Caenorhabditis elegans: one gene and its partners. The protein of the gene in region 1 interacts with the protein of each later gene in a pairwise test. Each region holds a gene or a part of one and is shown in the gene's direction. Other genes may lie near its edges.

The links.
Region 2: the proteins of arrd-13 (region 1) and drp-1 interact in a two-hybrid assay, tested with the Caenorhabditis elegans proteins (2 studies listed by BioGRID).
Region 3: the proteins of arrd-13 (region 1) and memi-3 interact in a two-hybrid assay, tested with the Caenorhabditis elegans proteins (one study listed by BioGRID).

What each region holds. Positions count from the first base shown.
Region 1 is NC_003280.10:13,756,467-13,760,221, forward strand, and holds the start of arrd-13 (Arrestin C-terminal-like domain-containing protein), read left to right. Parts: upstream 1-1,941; 5' UTR 1,942-1,954; coding exon 1,955-2,139; intron 2,140-2,290; coding exon 2,291-2,396; intron 2,397-2,895; coding exon 2,896-3,058; intron 3,059-3,646; coding exon 3,647-3,755.
Region 2 is NC_003282.8:5,536,488-5,540,242, forward strand, and holds the start of drp-1 (Dynamin-1-like protein drp-1), read left to right. Parts: upstream 1-2,000; 5' UTR 2,001-2,002; coding exon 2,003-2,315; intron 2,316-2,365; coding exon 2,366-2,931; intron 2,932-2,976; coding exon 2,977-3,726; intron 3,727-3,755. Other genes in the region: Sex-determining protein fem-1, read right to left, coding at 39-155, 202-567, 623-711, 759-864, 915-961, 1,011-1,071, 1,116-1,241, 1,295-1,369. UniProt on the Caenorhabditis elegans protein: Functions in mitochondrial division. Functions in peroxisomal division. Mediates membrane fission, perhaps mainly of the mitochondrial outer membrane. Mitochondrial fission may be promoted by recruitment to mitochondrial membranes via the egl-1/ced-9 complex.
Region 3 is NC_003282.8:11,401,729-11,405,483, reverse strand, and holds memi-3 (MEiosis-to-MItosis transition associated), read left to right. Parts: upstream 1-2,145; 5' UTR 2,146-2,146; coding exon 2,147-2,626; intron 2,627-2,673; coding exon 2,674-2,859; intron 2,860-2,908; coding exon 2,909-3,100; intron 3,101-3,150; coding exon 3,151-3,327; 3' UTR 3,328-3,539; downstream 3,540-3,755. Other genes in the region: cyp-31A2 (CYtochrome P450 family), read right to left, coding at 1-643, 692-786, 833-929, 973-1,373, 1,420-1,512.

The sequences.
Region 1 (3,755 bases):
CACACACACACACACATTTTTTGTTCAATACCTTCTAAAATAGTGTAACTAACAAGAAATTAACAATAGGAATTGAGGTTTCAGGGATTTAGGCTAGAGTTTAGTTTTTTTTTTTTTTTTTTTTAGTTCTTTAGTTTTTTTTTTACTTAACAGTTTTGTCTGAGGAAATATTTTTCTGAGTAGTGTGTGTTAGTCACCCCGATTTTGCATTTATTCCTAACAAATATATAATAGGCTGGGTTTTGAAATTCTATTTAAAAAAAAACTGGTCCTATAAAAACGGACGATGAAATTAATGAATTTTTTTTATTTTTAGCATGTTTTAAAGCTATTTTTCTCCATTGTTTGACCTTTTTTGCCAATTTGCCCATTTGCCGGAAATTTCAATTCCGACAAATTGTCGTTTTTCCGACAAATTTTAAATTCCGGCAATGTGCCGATTTGCCGGGATTTTTCATTTTTGGCAAGTTGCCGATTTTCCTAAAATTTCGGCAAATCGTCAATTCGCCGGTTCCCCGATTTGCCGGATATTTTCAATTTTTCCTTTTTTTTTTCAAAATTTGCAATTTGCCGATTTCCTGATTTGCCGGAAATTTCAATTATGGCAATTAGCCAATTTGACGGATATTTTTAATTCCGGCAATGTGCCGCTTAGCCGAAAATTCAAATACCGGCAATTTGCCGATTTGCCGGAAATTATTAATTCCGACAATTTGCCGATTTTCCTAAAATTTCGGCAAATCGGCAGTTTGCCGGTTCCCCTATTTGCCGGATTTTTTTTTTCAATTCCGGCAATTTCCCGATTTGCCGGAAATTTCAATTCCGACAATTTGCCGATTTTCCTAAAATTTCGGCAAATCGGCAGTTTGCCGGTTCCCCTATTTGCCGGATTTTTTTTTCAATTCCGGCAATTTGCCGATTTGCCGGAAAAATCGTTTGCCGCCCACCCCGGGTTCGGCCATTTCTAGCATATTTTTCTCCGTTGTTTGACCTTACAAATTAACTTTCCCGAATGTCAGAAATTTTATCACTATTTCCTATTTAATCAGTAATGCTTCTCCTATGTCTTCTTCCGTTTAGCTTATCAATTCTTCCTGTTTGTGAGCAACGTTTCTTTTTCACAAGTTTAATGGAAAAACGTTGGTCTTTGCCCCGTTCTTTTATCCTCGCTGTTCCCTTTATTTCTCTGCGGCTCTTGCGGAGTGCGATTTTTTTGACCTTCAATACTGCATGTGTCTGTTTGCTTTGTTTCGAGCGGCTATTCCGTAATTTTCATGAAATTGTAAAAAAAAATCTAGTAAAAAATCGTTTAAGAAATTAGAATCAGTTATTAATTTTTTTTTAATTTGAACTTTTAAAATTTATTCTATTACCCAGACACGAGATTTCGCGATTTTTGAGCCACAAATACCAAACACCGGTCTCAACACGACAAATTCTTGATAGAAAGGAAAAGGCGTTCGCCTTTAAAGCGTACTGTAATTTCAAACTTTTGTTGCTGCAGCGATTTCAAATTTCTATGGATTTTTCATAGTTTTATTTTTATATTTGAGAGTTTTTTTTGCTATATTCATGTTTTCCATAAATTAATACATTTTTTTTATCGAAAATGTGTTTATTAGTTATTGAAAACTAAAATCAATTAAAAAAGAAATTTTGAAACTACAGTACTCTTTAAAGGCGCACACTCCTTCTCAAGTACGCAAACACCACATTTTATGACAATTTCTGCAAAATTTATTTCGCTCCTTTTTTTTGAATTAAATTAAATTGTTTTTTTCCTTTCCTTTTCAATTAAAATGCATAATTTTTTTCTATTTTTTTAAAATAAAATATTAAAAATCAAAAATTCGTTTTTTTTTAAATTTTCAGTGTTCTCTCCACCGATTTTCTTCCGGTTTTTTGAATTTTTTAACGATTTTTTAACGATTTTTGTCTAAGTTCCAGGGTTATCATGCCAGAAACGGAGCTTCACGTGATATTCGACCAGCCTAACGAAGTTTTCTTCCCGGGACAACCGATTTCCGGCCGAGTGGTGCTCTCAACGACGAAGGAAAAATACAAGGCTCGGGCGGTGAATATCAAAATTTTGGGATTGGCTCACACCAGTTGGACGGATTATGAGAGTGTTCGCAGAGTGTAAGAAATTTAAGATTTCTGTAGAAAATTTCATTTTTTTTTTGACGAAAAAGCTATTTTTCAAATTTTTTAAAATGGAAAATTGAATAATCAATAAATATTTCCGAATTTTCGAATAACACTAAAAAATTATAAAATTCGAATTTTCCAGTGACGCCGACGGAAAAGTGAGCCACCACCGGCAATCTGTGCACTACTCTGCGAATGTGAACTACCTGGATTATACATTGCTTCTGTGGGCTTGCAAAGATGGATCGGTAGGGTATTTTGAATCAGGGATAGATAGGCAAACCGGCAAAATCGGCAAACCGGCAAATTGACAATCTGCCGCTTTCCAAATTTCCGGCAAAGATGGCATATTGCCGTTTTTCAAGTTTCCGGCTAATTCGGCATATTGTCGTTTTTTCATATTTACATCAAGTTCGGCAATTGCCGTTTTCCAAATTTTCGGCAAATTGCTGTTTTTTTTTTAAATTTCCGGCAAAGTCGGCAAATTGTCGTTGTTCGAATTTCCGGCAAAGTCAACAAATTGCCGTTTTTTCAAATTTCCGGCATATTCGGCAATTGCCGTTTTCCAAATTTTCTGCAAATTGCTGTTTTTTTTTTAAATTTCCGGCTAAGTCGGCAATATGCCGTTTTTTCAAATTTCCGGCAAAGTCAACAAACCGGCAATTTTCCGATTTGCTGAAATTTTCGGTAGCTCAAAATGAAGAATGGTTGAAAATTACAATTATTAGATATCTGAATATTTGTCAGAACGAGTTAGCAGCTGGAGAATACGCCTGGTCATTTTCTTATAATCTTCCTCTCAACGTTCCGCCAAGCTTTGAGGGAAAATATGGATATTTGAGATACTCGGTGACAGCTGAAGTGGATCGGCCATGGAGATTGGATAAGGCAAAGAAGCGATGCATCACTGGTAAGGGCTACAGTTTTAAGCCTAAGCCTGACAATCTAAGCCTGAACCTAAGCCTGAGCCTACGCAGCTGAAGCCTAAGCCTAAACCTAACAATCTAAACATAAGCCTAAGTCTAAGACTAATCCTAAGCAGGAGTGGCATTTTTCGATTTTTCGATGTTTTTTCAGTGAAAATTGAAAAATCGAAAAGAATGTTAAGAAAATTAACCATAAAATATGATTTTTTTTAAAATCTAATTTTGCTTATATTGATGAGAAAAAAACATCAAAATTAATTCTAAAAATAAGAATAATGGCCAAAATATTGTGCTAATATTTTGGAAAATCTAAAAAATTTTCGCAAAATCAGAAAAACGATAATTTTTTAAACATTTTTCGATTTTCAAAAAAATCGAAAAACGAACACCCTTGATCCTAAGCCTAAGCATAGGCCTAAGCCTAAATCTAGACCACTGTCTAAGCCTAAGCCTAAGCCAAAGCATAAGCCTAGGCCTAAGCCGAAGCTTACGCCTAAGCCTAAGCCTAACGGTCTAAGTCTAAGACTAACATTCTAAGCCTAAGCCTAAGCCAAAAATTCAAACATTTTCAGTTTCCCCACTGATCGACCTCAATGTGATCCCCCATGCACTCACCCAAATCAACGACCAGGCTAGCGAGAACCTTGGCTGTTGCTGCTTCAAAAAAGGATATCTCGAACT
Region 2 (3,755 bases), on another chromosome or scaffold:
AACTTTTAAAGCATTTTTTTTTGAAAACTTAAACGAACCTGCATTCTCTGAGCTTCGATATTTCCATCGAGAAGCTCTACTTGTGCAATATTCTGAGCTTCACGTTGATATTCGTACACTTCTTGGGGCTCGAAGAATGTCTCCATTTCACGCACCTAAATTATTATTTTTTTAAATAGAACAATTAAATTTAGAACTAACCAATCGAAGATCATCTGCATGAAGTGGAACTTCCATTGATTGTTTCCAACAATTCATCGCCGACATTGCATCCATTTTCTTATCAAGTAGCGTACTTCCCAACAGCTTCAACGCATCTCTTTTATGAATTCCAGATGGCATTTGATCAGCAAGAACATTCAGAACATCCAGAAAACCGGAAAGTGCTGCACCCATCAATGGATCAACTCCTTGTATGTCTTTCATGAGGACCGATCCGTGTTTCAGAAGAATTTTCACAACTTCCACATTTCCACTTTCTGCAGCGTCATGAAGAGCCGTATTTCCTCTCTCGGTTTTCTTGTTCACATCGATTCCGGTTTTTAGGAGCTCTTCCACAATTCCAACCTACAAAATTTTAGTTTTTCTCATATTTTGTTAATTAAAAATTTCAAAATCATACTTTATTTCTGTAGGATGCAATCATCAGGCACGTATGACCATGACGATTCGGTATATGTGGATCTGCACCTTTTTCGAGTAAATATTTCACTGAAAATCTTATTTTTAAAAAAGCTTCTTCGACTTCAAGGAATTACCAATATCCAAGTGTCCATCGTAACATGCACCTCTTAATGGAGTACTTCTTGTGTTAGTTGCTTGATTTACATCTGCATTTGCCTTTTCGATCAAGAGCTTTACGATCTGAAATCGAAATAAAACATTATTGCATTAAATAATGAAATATTTTTCACTTCAATGTGTCCAGCAGCGGAGGCAGCCCACAAAGGAGGTGTTCCTTCTGAAAACTATTGTTTTATTTTCTTTTCAGAACAGAAATAAAAACTTACGAATGTTTTCGTTGTCAAATTCCACAACACCACGAACAGATGGATCGGCTCCAATTTCTAGCTGAAAATCTTCTCATTTAATTAATTAATTTTCATTTTTCCCACCAAATATTCGACGACATTTGCGTGTCCATTTCTTGCAGCAATCACAAGTGGATATCGTCCGTCTTGATCAGAATTGAAGCAATCAATTATCCATTGTCGATCGTTTCTTGAATTTATTGTGAAAACCTGGAAATTCATTTATTTTGACAACTTTTCTTTAACTTGAGCTTTTTGCTTACTTTAATTCTCTGCAAATTTCCAACCGCCGCAGCATTATAAATTACTGTTCGAAAATGATGTCCATTTGGTGTCATACCGCCAATTTTTCCAAAAAAAAACTGGCGGAATTTTAATAGAAATTGCAGAAATTCGAGAAGAAAAAGAAAAGAAAATACTCCTCGTGATTTGTCGTCGGATAGGGTGCACGGTCTGCAATCTGACGTGAGGATTATTGCGGAGTGCTCGAAATTTTGAGTTCAGCGCCGCGGCGGAAATATCGGATATCAGAGATTTTCCCGTCGGTTTTGTCAACTTTTGCCTCAATTTTATCAATTTTTCCGTAAAAATCTCAAAGATCGTTACTGTTTGTATCATTGTTTGAAACAAACTACGCAGAATGATGCAAAATTGTATAGGAACTCCCATGGTTGACATTTTCCCAGGGAAAAATGAGTAAGTGGCAGGATCGAAAAGATGATATAAAAGTTGGCGTTCACAGTCAATCGAAGGCCAAGTAGACTATCTGAATTTCTATTTGCGCACATTTTATCACTTGTTATCACTGGTGTGTTCAAATGCATTGTTTTTCACTTTGTGATCACTGGCAGTTGTTCTTTCTCATTTCAAACATCATTTCGCAACTGCCTCGTCATTTTTACTCTTCTCCTCGTAAAACTCTTTATATAAATGATACTCTCATTTCGATTCAAAAATTTTAAATTTTACAGATGGAAAATCTCATTCCTGTCGTCAATAAACTACAGGATGTTTTCGCAACGTTAGGCAGGAAAGAAGATCAAATTCAACTTCCACAGATTGTAGTCGTCGGATCACAGTCGGCCGGAAAGTCTTCAGTGCTCGAAAATCTAGTCGGTCGGGATTTTCTGCCGCGTGGTACTGGAATTGTCACTCGCAGGCCATTGATTCTTCAGTTAAATCACGTTGCTCTCGATGATGAATCCAAAAGAAGACGGTCAAATGGAACACTTCTCACAGATGATTGGGCAATGTTCGAACATACTGGCTCTAAGGTTTTCACAGGTGAGAATTTAGTAATTTGAATATTGCGAGAAATTTAAACAATTTTCCAGACTTCGATGCCGTGCGAAAAGAAATCGAAGATGAAACTGATCGTGTAACTGGAGTGAATAAAGGAATCTCTCTTCTTCCAATCAGTTTGAAAATTTATTCCCACAGAGTTGTCTCCCTCTCCCTGGTCGATCTTCCCGGCATCACAAAGATCCCAGTTGGTGATCAACCAGTCAATATTGAAGAGCAAATCCGTGAAATGATTCTTCTCTACATTTCAAATCCTTCTTCTATCATTCTGGCTGTAACTCCAGCGAACCAGGATTTCGCTACTTCGGAGCCTATCAAGTTAGCTAGAGAAGTGGACGCAGGTGGACAAAGAACTCTCGCAGTTCTCACGAAATTGGATTTGATGGATCAAGGAACTGATGCGATGGACGTATTAATGGGGAAAGTGATTCCAGTAAAGTTGGGAATTATTGGAGTCGTTAATCGATCTCAACAGAATATTCTCGACAACAAACTGATCGTGGATGCAGTGAAAGATGAGCAAAGCTTTATGCAAAAGAAATATCCAACATTAGCTAGCAGAAATGGAACTCCTTATTTGGCAAAGAGATTGAATATGGTAAGAATTTCAATAAATAAAAAATTATTTAGAAATTAATTTCAGCTTCTCATGCACCATATTCGCAACTGTCTTCCTGCACTGAAAGCCCGCGTGTCTATCATGAACGCCCAATGCCAATCGGATCTTGTTGCATTCGGTGAACCAGTTGAAGATAAGAACAGAACACTTCTTCAAATCATAACTCGATTCGCAACTGCTTATACATCAACTATCGAAGGAACTGCCCGCAATATTGAAACAACTGAGCTATGCGGAGGTGCTCGTATATGCTACATTTTCCACGATACCTTCGGAAGATCTTTGGAATCTGTCAATCCATTGGAAAACCTCACACAATTGGATATTTTGACTGCGATTAGAAACGCGACAGGACCAAGGCCAGCTCTTTTCGTACCAGAAGTCTCATTTGAATTGCTTGTCAAGCGACAAATTCAACGATTGGAGGAGCCATCGTTGAGATGCGTTGAGCTGGTACACGAAGAAATGCAACGAATGGTTCAGCATTGCGGATTCACTACTCAACAGGAGATGATTCGTTTCCCAAGATTGTACGATAAAATCAATGAGGTCGTTAGTGGAGTTCTGAAAGAGAGGCTGAAGCCCACCAATGAGCTTGTCGAGAATCTTGTAGCCATTGAACTTGCTTACATTAATACAAAACATCCAGAATTCACAGAAGCCAATTTGGTGACACTTTTGAAAGAGGAGCTTCTTCTCGACGATCGGCATGGTCGCAGTAGAAATCGACATGCATCAACCGGAGAAAGAGCGGTCAGTGCTCATGGAGAACAGGTGGGGGCAGGAACTTCCTGCCAGGAAGT
Region 3 (3,755 bases), on another chromosome or scaffold:
GAGTGCAAAACGTTGGCCAATGCAGTTACGGCTTCCAGCTGAGAATGGGATAAAGGCGAATGATTTGCGACCAATTGAGTTTTCAGGAAGGAAGCGATCCGGGTCGAATACATCAGGATCCTTCCATTGAGCAGGATCACGGTGAACAAGGTACAGGTTGAGAAGAAAAGTGACTCCTTTTGGAATATTAACACCTCCAATGACTTGATCATCACTCAGTTCTCTTGTAATAATTGGAACAGATGGAAAGAGACGCAGAGCTTCTTTTAGTGCACATTCGAGATATTTCATTCTGGAGAGATGTTCAATAGTCACGTCCTCATCGTCGCCCATTACTTCATCCAGTTCCGCTTGAACTTTTCTCTGAACTTCAGGATGATTTCCCAGAAGATGAATTGCCCACATTAATCCTGTAGATGTTGTATCGTGACCCTCAAACATAAATGTGTCAACTTCTGCTTGAACATCTGTTTCGTCCATTTGTCCACTTTTCACCATTTCGAGAAGAAGATCCAAAAATGCGAGACGACCTTCCATCTTATAATCATTCTCCTGTAGAGCTTCCTTTCTCTCGACAATCACTTTCTTTGTGAAATCATGGAGAATACGAAGACATTTTTCATGAGTCCGTCCGTCCTCTGTTCTGAAAATTACAAATTAATTCACCTTATTAATGATAAAACTACCGTACAAATTATAAATAAATGAATTCCACATCAACGGATTATTTGTTCTTTTTGAAATCAGTTTATTGATTGTGTGCACCGCCCATACATACTCGTTATTCTGAAAAAGTATTTAGAAATTTTGAGATTCGAGTTGTTTACCCAACCTCCGCGAGTTGAGCACCAATAGCTTTCCCCATAGAGGTTTCGCAAATGATGTCAAGAGTGCAAAGGGTTATAACGGAGAGAACATCAACTTCTTCACTGAAAAGAAACATTTGAACGAGTTATCAATTAAAATTCTTACTCTGCTCCGAGGCAACACAATTTCTGAACCAAAATCTTTGATTGCTCGTTAAAAATCGGCAAAAAATCCTTGAGAATATCATAATGGAATGTTGGTGTCAATAGTTTTCGTTTTGGACGCCATTGTTCCTTTTGGCTCGTCAAAATACTGATTCCAAGCCATGGCTCGAGCAAAACGTATGCGAACCCTTTGTTCAGATGTTTCGTCGATGAGAAAATTGGTTCAACAAGATCGGCAGAGTAGAGCATCAGACATGGAAATGGGCCAATCCAGAGAAGACACATCCGTGGATCTGGATACAAATATCCCATTCCAATCACTTGGTTCATGAATCCCTCTGGATCGGGCTTGGTGATGAGTCCGTGACCAACGATTGGATATGATCGTGGCTGATTGAGGTGCTGGAAATTTATTTGAGTTATCTTTGAATGCATTTTGCAATCTGACCTTCAAAACTTGACGCATTCTCAAATGTTTGTAGAGAAGCCAAGCGATCACAGTCGCCATAGCGAGAAGTACAGCGGGGATGATGACCCCCATTGCAAAACCTTCTGAAATAATTTATTTGTGCGAAGAAACGAGCAAAACGCGTTTAAAACATGAGAAAAAGCGTTTGTTAAGCTTTGGTTCTAAAAAAAGAAAAAAAACGAACAGTTTTTGAATCAACATTCAAATTTCACGCATGTCGTAGTGAGACCCATCTGAAAATCGCCATGCGCCTTTAAAGAGTACGGTAGGCTCAAAAAAATTCTAAAACTGATTTTTGTTGTTTTCTGATATATCATGATATTTAAATCTTGATTTAATGATTAAAAACTTTCAATCGCGTTAATTTTTCAACAAAAAAAAAAGAAAACAAATCCAAAATTATTTTTCAATAAGTATTGTACTTTTTATGAATGCATCGCCTATTTGACCTATTCGATCTCCCCCGCGAAAAGTCAGCGCAACAATTGTGTTATTTTAGGCCCAACGAAAATTTTTGATTGTGAACATTCTTCTACTTTGCTGATGTTCAGAGAGCCGTAATGAAATTTCATAAATATTGTTTTATCGGTGAAGCATTATTAATCTGTTAATCACTTGAGTACATTGTTTTTTTTAAAGTTTTATCTTTAATTTTTGCTTCGAATTCTTATTTTTCCATTAATTTTTCAAACCAACGTTTTTTAGAATGTCAGCTCCGTCCCGTACCGTTCTTCGCGAATTGACGGCGACCAAATACGTGGCCAACTACACCGATGAATATCAATTGGAAACCGCTCGAGCCGGTTGCTCAGCCCTCCCACCACAACCCAACATCAATCATGATGCAATTATCGAAGGGCATGGAGAAGACGTGGAGCTCGTCGAGGATAAGAACTACCGTTCCCTGCATCGTATCGATGAAACTCCAAAGCTCGTCGACAAGAAGCCGAGCAAGGCAATCATCCGCGATGAAGCTGTCAAAGTGCTAAGAGACATTCAAACAATGCCGATTGAAAATCTCCGTCTCAAGCGCTACGACTTCTTCTCGCAAAGATGGTTCAACACGACCAGAGAATCGGAGAAAGCGCTTGTCGAGCACGTGCTCCTTCATCCGAACCAGCGACCACACTATTTCGCCGCTCAGTGCCGCATGCTTTCGGCCGAAGATATCTCCAGTCTGATTCTAGTTAGTTTCTTGAGTATATTTTTCCCAAAAAAATTTTTTTATTTCAGACTTCCCTCCTGGCCGAGCCGAAAGAGACGGGTCAAAATGTGGTTCGATTTGCGATCCAGGCAAAGACTGCAATGCCGTTCCAGCAATTGTTTGCAATTCTCGAAAAACTGGAGATGGAAATCGAAGGCTTCCAGATGACAGACAGCTTTGTGGTGGCAACATTGATCCGATCACAGAGCAAGAGTGTACGTAAAATAGTTTTCTATTTCACACCGATAACTTTTCATATTTCAGACTACCACTCGTCGCCTGCGAACAACAAACTGCCGGGAATACGGAAATCTCGAGCCAGGACTCGATTCACAAGGCCGACTGATGGCCTCGACTGCATCAATCACGTGTTCGATTCGAGGAAAGCGCCACGTGGAAACGAGGATCGTGTACAATAACAACTCGAGCGCCAGGGATCCTTTCCGGAGATATAGAGTGAGTTGAATAGCAATAATTTATCGGTTTCCAATTTATAACGTTTTCAGTACATCGAATTGGAGCAAACGGTGAAGTGCATGAACCGACGAGTGCAGATTGTCGAAGAGCCAGTCGAATTTCATGAATTCGAGGTCGAAAACGATATGGTCTCGTTGAGAAATGGAATGGTGCTTGTCGACGACCTAATCTCGTTCCTCGAAACATTCGAACTGGATGAAGAGTGAATTCATTTGTCCAATAATTAGTTATAATGTGCATAAGTTTTTGTATATATCTATCTGAATAACTAAGTGGTTCCTGTTAAATATATCAACTAACTTTCCCCTATTTTATTTTCCATTCCTCCAACTCACCATGACCCTCGAATATTTTGTTTATGTTCAACATGTATATTGCTTGAATTAACTTTACCAAATCATGAACTGGTTGATTTAAAAAATCTTTTTAACATGACTCTGAAAAATTTTTCAAATTAAATTCTTCTGATAAGCTGATAATTTTCTGGTTTCAGATATCAAAATTTTTATACAGCCGGGTACAATGATTTACGATATGGAAGATGCCTCCAGCCTAAAAAGATGAATTCGAAATTAGAATTAATGAACGCAAATTTCTGAAAACGCTGGCAATTCCAGCTTGCGACATGCAACTT